Linked DNA regions of Canis lupus familiaris. The protein of the gene in region 2 interacts with the protein of the main gene of each other region in a pairwise test. Links are inferred from orthologs where the notes say so. Each region holds a gene or a part of one and is shown on either strand. Other genes may lie near its edges.

Region 1 (4,250 bases), on a different chromosome or scaffold from region 2:
TGTGCTGAGGCTTTTGCTAGTTAAATCAGCTTTCATTGGAGCATTCTGCATTCTATGTGTGTGGTGACCACAGTAAAGACAGGTTCTCTAACATTAGGGTTAGAATACACAAAACAGGATGACTCTTAATAATGTCAGTCAATCAGTAAGGAAAATAAATGACCACTAAAATGAAACATCTGACTATAGGTCTTCCAAAAGAAAGGAAAAGGACTAACAAACAAGAATATAGTGCTTTACCATTGACAGATCTTTCACGTACATTCCATTTGACCCTCACAACAACCCTGTGAGGTAGGCAGCACTGATATTATTCTTCTCATTTAACAGATGAGGAAAGTGACTCTCAGAGCAGTTAACTGAAGTGCCCAAGGTTCTATAGTTAGTGAAGAATTTGTATTAATATCAGTCTTTGGCCTAAAAATTCAGCACCCAACCTCCCCTCATACCTGCCCTACCTACTTCACAGGGATAATGAAGATAAAATGAATTCAAGGCTAGAAAAATACTGAGGGAAAAAAAGCACTATATAATTATACCCGCAAACTATAATTCTCCACGATATATGGCTCATTCCCCTTCTTATCCCAGCTTGTGCGTGAACCCAGAAATTTATATTGCCTCAGTTCTGTGCTCAATCAATTAAGCAACTAAGTAAGACAGGGGAACAGTTGTGGTCCTGTTTGAAGGTATATAAATTACAATCAGGGCAACTGCTAGTATAGCAAATTGAAAAACAACATAGGCCAATGTGCAGCTGGAACCCACTGAAGCACAGAGCAAAGCAAGGCAACATTATCAGATAGGGCATGATTGCATAGAAGGAAACGTGGTGTCAGAGTTCAAACTGGCACACACACGGTTATCTAAGGCAAAGTGGTGGCAAAGAAGAGTTATTTGTTCCACATTATATAAACAAGAGTACAATATTCATGGGAACCCGTGCAAAAGCATCTTCTGTCACACAGATCTCTCGAGCTGCCTACAGAGGATATAAACAACAGTGTCCTCTTCATTTTAAAGAATGGCTGTACCTGTGCTCACATCCTGCACTAAACCAAGGAACAGCTCCATGCTGAACTTCTTGGCCTACATACAACCAGTACCATCATTCCTAGTCAGACTAATAAACAATGTCCTTTAAGGTAATGAATTAGATGGCTGTGTTTAGATTTTTTTTCAGGATTCACTTTGGATTCTCCTGCTTTTAAGACCCAAAGAAAGTTATATTGAGTTTTTATTGGTGATTCTAAGTATATGTGTTTATAACAGTTAAAGTGTGATAGGTGAATTCAACATATTAAAAGAGTTCTAGAGCATCTGTTCAGAAAAGATTATATACTATACAAACTATTCAAGTCATACAAAACCATTTTTTCAGTGTCTTTTCAACTGAGAAGAATCCTATTCAGCACGCTTCTCCTCCTGAGGTGGTTCATACTGAGCAAGCTATAGGGCAAAGACAGAGGAGTTTAGGTGAATTTTATTCTAAGTTGGGTAAAAAAAAAAAAACTTAATAGTAACAAAACGAGTAGTTAACTATTATGTCCAGTTTAATTACTGAATCAGTAACTTATTATATGAATATCATATCCCTTTTTAAACCATTTAAGATTAATACAATTTAAGATTTAATATAATCAAGTCTAATGAAAACTCTTTTCATATAAGCCTTTAAAATTACTGGGAAACCAAAACTGAATTCCAATTCGAGACTACACTACTCAAATACTTGATATGCAATAATCTGTATCTTCCCAAAGATGTTGTGGCTTCTGGCAAGGTACTTAATCTTTCTCTTTACCAAACGTTGACTGAACTTTCTCTTAAAAAGCAGGAAAAAGAATAATCTAGCCAGTCAATGAAGAGCAGCTCATGTCTTTGACTTAAAAAGTGCCAAAAAGTTAACTGGTATTTGTGTTGTGGAATCCTGGATAATTTAAGATGCTGCATTTTCTGTTATGCTAAGCTGTGGTTCCCTGAAAGAACACTAGGCTAAGATTTAGGTTGTTCCAATTAGCTGTCAGATTTGAGAAGATAATTAGACTTCAAGGTGCTTTCAGTTCCTAAATATAAGATGGTCTGTGTACCTGTTTCACTTATCTCGCAAGGTTGTTGAGAAGATAAATCACATTATGAGAAATGCCTAATATAAAATGCGTTATGTGATTCAAATGTGGAAAAACCTCAAAGACTTGGAGTTGACTAATTTGAAGTTTATGAAAATTCTCACAGGAGTTTCAACAAAGAAAAAACTTTAGCAAATAGACAAAATCAGGTGCAAACAAATTTATAAAGATAGGCCAGCACATACAACTGTGCAGATTATGTACTGCACAACTCTAAGAGGTGCTATTCACAAAGCAATGACCCTACATTGACCTACTTAAATCAACTGTTCATGACTCCCAGAAACCTCCATTTACTCATAAGCAGCATTAACCAGTACTCTCATCTTTTTTTAAGTAGGCACCATGCTCTGCATGGAGCCTAGTGCAGGGCTTGACCTCACACCCCCTACTAAGATCAAGACCTGAGCTAAGATCAAGAGTCAAGACCGAATGAGCCACCCAGGCATCCCTCTCATCTTTTTCTTGATGTGGGTTCCTAAGAACCTCTTCTTGACCACACGTAGCTTGTCCTATTTACTATCTGTCTGTGGTTTTCTAGATAGGGCATCAGTTCAGCCTTGCAGTTAATTGAGATTATTAATCCCCCTACCTTCCCTGCTATCCGTTTTAGTGAGGCTTTGATCTTATAATCATTAAAGATGAAATTATTTTTAACATGAATTCTTTTAAAACATTTACCTTTGTTTTCAGTTTTTTATTTTCTTCTACAATAGCTTCATATTTTTCTTTCATTTCTGCCAATTCTAGGCGAAGCAGCTCTATTTCTGGATTTTCTGGGGTAGCAGCTCCTAAGTGATGCTTTAAGAAACTAATATCAAAGTTAAGAATTTACTTGAGCTGAATGAAACTAATGAAATATCTCAGAGTAGTATCAATATCTCTGATCACAGTCACCCCATCTTACCACCACCATTTACCCAGAGATCATCACCACAAAACTTGAAGTAACTTTTTCAATCATCAAAAATATTTCAAATATTATTTATGTGAAAAAATAAGAGTTCCAAAAATAAGTCCTTTTTCTGACTTGAAAGATGAAAAGGATACTCCAAAGCACTATTAGGTTTCTCTGGTTCTTCATATAAGGCTACCAATACTGCAAATCAAAAAGCAGAAAAAAGCAACAATTAAAGTCTTAAATTTGACTGAAATTATATTCCATAGCTCAGTAAATATTAAGTGCCCATTATATGCCAAGCACATTGCTAGGGCTGCCATACCATGGTAAACAAGGCAGATAAGGTCCCTGCTCTCAACAAATTTACAGTCTAGTGCAAAAGCAAGGAACTAGACAAAAAAAAGAGCATCAAGCGGCAATACAGGATGATGGATTATGGGAGCACATTGGAAGAACACCTAACTCAGCCCAAAGCACCAGGGAAGGCTCCCCAATGAAGGGAAATAAGATGTGAGACTTGGCTCTGAGGGTTTCAGATAAAATGGGAAGGTGAGGGGGTGGGGAGGACAAGAGAACAACATATTGAGGAACTGAAAATTCAAATATGGCTAGATGGAGCTATGAACTATGTGGCAGGGAAGGAAGCTGGCAAGGTGGTCAGGAGGCAGACCACGGAGGATCCGGCAAGTTTGGTTGGACTTTGATGCTCAAAACAGGAGGCATATAATTAAACAGTTTAAGCAGGACAGTGACAGGATCGCTCTTGACTGCTGTGTGAAAGATCCAGAGTGGGACAAGGATGAAGGCAGGAAGAGCAGTTAAGAGGCAGGTGTCCTAATCCAGCTGAAAAAGATAGTAACCTGCGCTAGCGTGATGGAGGGGTGAAAACAAAGTAGATTAATTTGAGAAAAATTTTGGAGAATCAACAGGGCTTATGGTAATTACTGGAAGAAGCTTTGAATTCAAAGTGTGCTTCAAGAATAGTTTCATATACAATATGCTAAATAACCACCAACCAAAAACTTTACCAGTAATCGACATGCTCAGATCAACATTAAAATAGATGTTTTAGTTTGTACCCAAAAGCTTATGTCAGCACTACCTTTCTCATCTTCTATTGAACAAATTCCTCCTAGGATTTACTACTCAGACAAAAATCTCTCTAAACCAGTGGTTAAATTTTTTGTGCATGGAACCCTTTGAAAAATGACAAAAGCCAA
Region 2 (4,941 bases):
CAGCAAACAAAGATGTTCCAAGTGAGGTCAGAGAACAAAGGTGGAGGCAGGGCAGAGCATGACGTATGTGAGGCATGGTGACACAGAAGGCTTGTTGGGGGAGGTAGGGGTGATATTGGGGATGAGAGAAAAATCAGGGCATGACAGCTTGGTAAAGTAAGGCTGAAGCATCTGTCTTCTTGCTGGCAGGAAGAAGGTTTGGTCCAGGAGAGTGAGTTGGTAAAAGCAGCATTTCAGAGTGATTCATCCAATGAGGGTAAGCCAGGTGGACTGGGGGCTGGGCGGGGGAGGTTGGTGGTTTGGAGAGGCAAGTTGGGGAGAGCAGGGAGGAAGGACTATTGTATGTAGGGGGGTCATTTCAGGACCTGTGGGAGGACTCAGCAGGATCAAGATATGTCTTACTACTAAACTTAATGGAGGCTCAGCTATTCCCTGTTCTTTGGTCTATAAACCCAAGCTCAGTGGGGCTTCTGGGGAGTCCCATAGCTGGCATTTCTCCCTTGATCCTGGCAGCTGTGAGGGGGTCAGAGACAGCCCCTTTACATGGGGCAGTTGGGTAACATTTCTGCCTAACACCCCGGTGTTAGGCCAGGCAGCTAGAAGCAAGGTGCTCAGACGAGGTAGGGGTGGGGGAAAGGGGAAAAACTATGGAGGGAGAAGAAACCTGGCCTCAAGTTTTCTGTTTCTTGTGTTATCTAAACATTATTCTTTTTCTTTCTTTTTTTTAAATTTTTATTTATTTATGATAGTCAGAGAGAGAGAGAGAGAGAGAGAGAGAGGCAGAGACATAGGCAGAGGGAGAAGGCGGCTCCATGCACCGGGAGCCCAATGTGGGATTTGATCCTGGGTCTCCAGGATCGCGCCCTGGGCCAAAGGCAGGTGCTAAACCACTGCGCCACCCAGGGATCCCAACATTATTCTTTTTCAATGTTGACCAAGGTCTTTGGGAAATTCTGACTTCAGGGTTGCACTGGGAGAACCAGGGGAGAGGCTGTCCCTAGGGTTCAGGGCTGAGCTTTCATTGATTGGCGAGGGGCATCTGGTACTGCTGGGAGTCTTCCCGGTTTCTTTTTTTTTTTTTTTTTTTTTCTTCCCGGTTTCTTAACAAAAGCAGGGAGAAACACGGAAGTCAAAAGGGCTCACGTCCCCAAACAGATTTATGGTCACATTATTTGCTTGCCTTTTTGCTTATAATTCAGAGACTGTGGAGAAACATAGCACAAGATTATATTGTTGATTAATTATATCATATGGGGGAGAGGGTGTAAAAAGTACTTTTCTACTACATTATTGACATCCCCTGAGATATTTTAGGGGGAAGAAAGGGGTATCTTGCATACCACTAAAGCCACTAAACACTGGCTTTATCCTTCCTCACCCCGGTGCATGTTCCCAACTCAAATGGCTATTTAACAAACTACGTTTCCCCTTCTTAAAAAAATAAATATGTAGTGATAAATCTTTCCTTGATTCGTTTACAGTAGAAAGTTCAAATCTGATAAGATCCAGAAACTAGGTGTGCAGAAGGCAATGGCTAAGAAAGCCCTTGACTGCCCTTGGGAAAGGGGCCCAGCTATTTTTCTTTCCCTCTTAACTGTTAAGAATTATATCATGAGGGACACCTGGGTGGCTCAGTTCGTGAAGTCTCTGCCTTGGACTCAGGTCATGATCTCCAAGTCCCAGGATCGAGCCCTGCATCAAGCTCCTTGCTCAGCAGAGAGTTTGCTTCTCCCTCTGCCCCTCCCCACTGCTTGTGTTCTCTCTCAAATAAATAAACAAACCTTAAAAAAAAAAATTATGTCATGAAACAGCATCTCAACCCAGCCTAAATCAGACTTTTATACTACGAAGAGGGATAAAGCCAGCCATAGTGACTAAGCAGGCCTCCCAGGGGCCTCTGGTGACTGCAGACCTGCCCCTCTCCTCACGCTGACCACTGCTCTGAGGCTGGCTTTGGGTCTCCTCAGGGCCTGCAAGAGCATGAACAGACTTTTTGACCTAGCAAGTAAGGCCCTGGCGTGGTCTGGCCCCCGTCTACCCATGTAGCCCTGTCTGGTTCCTTCCCTCTCCTCCACACCCACCACCTCTGCCCTGGCCACCAAGGTCCTGGTTCCATGCTTCAGCTCATGCTGCTCCCTGCTCCCTAGACCTGGGAAAGCAAACTGCCTTTTTTCAGAAGAAGGTGGGGAAGGGGATGTCAGCCACAGATGTCACCTCTTCAGAAAACTTTTCCCCCAAATTCTAGCATCTAAGGCCTGGGATCAAGGGCTCTGAGCCCCCTTAACCACTAGGGATCCCTGTATCCGAGCATTGATATTTGCCTGGTTCCTCCTCTGGCAGTTCACTAGATTGAGTTTCTCGTGGGCCAGGGTCACACAGTCAATACTGACACCGTTGCTGCCCAGCACAGTGCCTGCCCACAGCAGCAGGCCCTCAATAAATGGAAATGGCAAAAGATGGAGATGAGGTGAGTTGCACATAGGAACACGTCCACGGGGGTGAATGTGCAGTCAGACACCTTGGGACTCTGCCACCTGCAACCAGAGGAGGCCAGGACGCTGTCATGTCTGAGGCGCTCTCCAGTTTAAACAAGTGGGACAAGTGTCATCCATCCCGAGAGGACATACGTGGTGGAGAGAGGTGGGAAGAACTGGCCAAGTCGGGCATTTCTTCTGGGTTTTTCCAGCCAGCGGCTTATGTGAACACCCTCAAAGGATCCCCCTGGTGGGGTTGTTGGTTTCACCACCTCAACATGTTTCGTGCATTCTTTTCTGAATCTCTTTTCCCAAGGACTGGGGTTCCTGGACCTCTTTCTTGACTCTTCTGAACCCCCGCCAGCGGAGGGCTCGGGCCTGCGCAGTCCCACCCTGAGATCCGGCCTTCCTGCCCTGGGCCATCTGCCCAGCAGTTGACCCTGAGGCCTCTCCGGCCTTTCTGCGTCCCCATCCCCAAGGCCCAGTGCACTGGGCCCCCTCCCCTCAGGGGTCGCTGCCTTCAGCCCTGAGGTTTGGGGTACGCCTTGCTCCGTACCCCATTCCCCCGTTATCTTTACCTCTGTCCTGGTGTCACCCCCGTCCTCCAGGCCCTGTGTCGTGAATCCCATCCAAGAACCCCAGCCCCTCTCGGGTTCTCCTGAGCTCCCAAGGCAGCCAGCGCCAACCTTTAAAGACTTCTGCGGCCTCCAAGAATCTGTGAGTAGACATTTTGAGGCGGGACTCCTTCTTTAGAGACTTCATGGTGCCGCCCGGGCCGAGAGCGTGACCCTGCGCCGCGGGACCGGGGACAACGAGGCTGCGCGACACCCCGGCGACCCCGCGCCCCCCCGCCCGCCGCCGCCGAGGCGTCCATAGCAACCAGCGGCTCGCGCGGGGGGGCGCACCCACCGATCAGCTTGGGCGGAGACTGCTTGGCGGCCACCTTCTTCATCCGGCCACGCCCTCGCGCCCGCCGAGGGCCGCTCCCGCCGCGCGCCGAACCGAGCGAAGCTGCCGGCCGGGGCCGTGATGTCACAGGGAGCCGGCGAGCGCCGTGACGTCAGCGGCCGGCGGGGCGGGGGCGGGGCGAGACCCGCGGGAGCGGGGCGAGGTGGGCGGGGGGCGTGAGTCAGCACCGCCCCGGCTCCCGCCTGCCCTCCGCGCCTCCGTCGGGCCGTTTCTTCCACGCCCCGCCGAACCCCCCTGCGCCGCTTCCCGTGGGCTTCAGTGACCTGGGGGCCCCTGCCCGTCCCCTGTGGCCTCCGCCCGCCCGCGCCCGCCACAGGCTCTCGGTCACTTCCCCCAAAGCCCAGGCTTTTACCCCGACTTGGGCGCCCCTTGTACTGCTGGTTTCAATCCCTGCAGATGCTGCTGCCCTTGACCCCCGAATTTAAAGTAGACCCTCTGTGGTCTCAACTTTCAGTTGCACCTGGTTTATATTTTCCCTAGAGCCCTAAGGCATTCTCGAATTATTCTGTCTGTTGGGGCAGGCGGCGGGGTGTGTGTGTGTGTGTGTGTGTGTGAGTGTGTGCCTGTTATCAAGTTCTCTTGAGAATGTAACCTCCGTAAGAGCAAGGCAGGCCTGTCACTTGTCCCCACCCCCACTCCAACCCAAGTTTAGCACTTTGTAGTCACTCAAACTGTGTGTGGAATAATGAAGGGGCTTTGGAGCCAGACTGCCTGCTTGCTAGCTGTGTGTTCTTGGACCAGACCCCTTGACGTCTCTGAGCCACAGTTTTCTCACTTATAAAATGAAGATGATGATGCCTCCCACACAAGGCCACTTGAGATCATAATTGAGAATATGTACTTGAGTACTTGAGATGCATAAGTGAGAATATGCATGAAAAGTACCCACCACAGAGATCTCCATAAGCCATAGAATCTTCTCAGTTCTCAAAATCATGGTAAGGTTGGGGAGATGGGCTCTATACCCATTTTACAGATGAAAAAACTGAGGTCTACATAAGAGGAGGCTGTAAAGGCACCTGAGTAGCAGGAAGTACAGTTTGAGCATGGTTCCCCCAAATCCAAGGCCAGAACTCTTTGTGCCCTGTCTTCTGGGCCATGTCAGAGCTTTGCTTCAGTCTGCCCTAGACAAGGGGAGGAACTAGGGAGGATGACTGTAGGGGTAATCTCTCGGCTCCCTGTGTGTTCCCCAGACACCTCTTCATGCCCCTCTATATGGTCACTTTCTTACTGAAACATCCTCCGTAGACAACCTCTCTTTTGCTCTTGGAGGCCCAACCACTAGCCTCCTTCCACCCACCCTACCCCCGCAAGGGAGTCCCCAGTTTAGCTCACTCCATGAACATTTACGGAGCACTTAAGATAGATCAAGCCGATCACTGTGTCATCTGGACTTGCCAGGAAGCAGACATGGAGATGGGTTTAGGAGTGCAAGATGTTTACTGCAGGGCAAAGTGGGGGTGTGGTAAAGCCTTAGGGGAAGGAAGCAGGACTGGGC

What was found.
Region 1: the proteins of MYCBP-associated protein (region 2) and MYCBP interact in binary tests that used the Homo sapiens proteins (3 or more experiments, as listed by UniProt). The link is inferred for Canis lupus familiaris from reciprocal best matches to the Homo sapiens genes MYCBPAP and MYCBP.

What each region holds. Positions count from the first base shown.
Region 1 is NC_049236.1:3,939,955-3,944,204, reverse strand, and holds the end of MYCBP (C-Myc-binding protein), read right to left. Parts: intron 3,229-4,250; coding exon 3,180-3,228; intron 2,941-3,179; coding exon 2,811-2,940; intron 1,450-2,810; coding exon 1,405-1,449; 3' UTR 1,227-1,404; downstream 1-1,226. UniProt on the Homo sapiens protein: May control the transcriptional activity of MYC. Stimulates the activation of E box-dependent transcription by MYC.
Region 2 is NC_049230.1:26,381,717-26,386,657, reverse strand, and holds the start of MYCBP-associated protein, read right to left. Parts: upstream 3,317-4,941; 5' UTR 3,237-3,316; coding exon 3,161-3,236; intron 1-3,160. UniProt on the Homo sapiens protein: May play a role in spermatogenesis. May be involved in synaptic processes.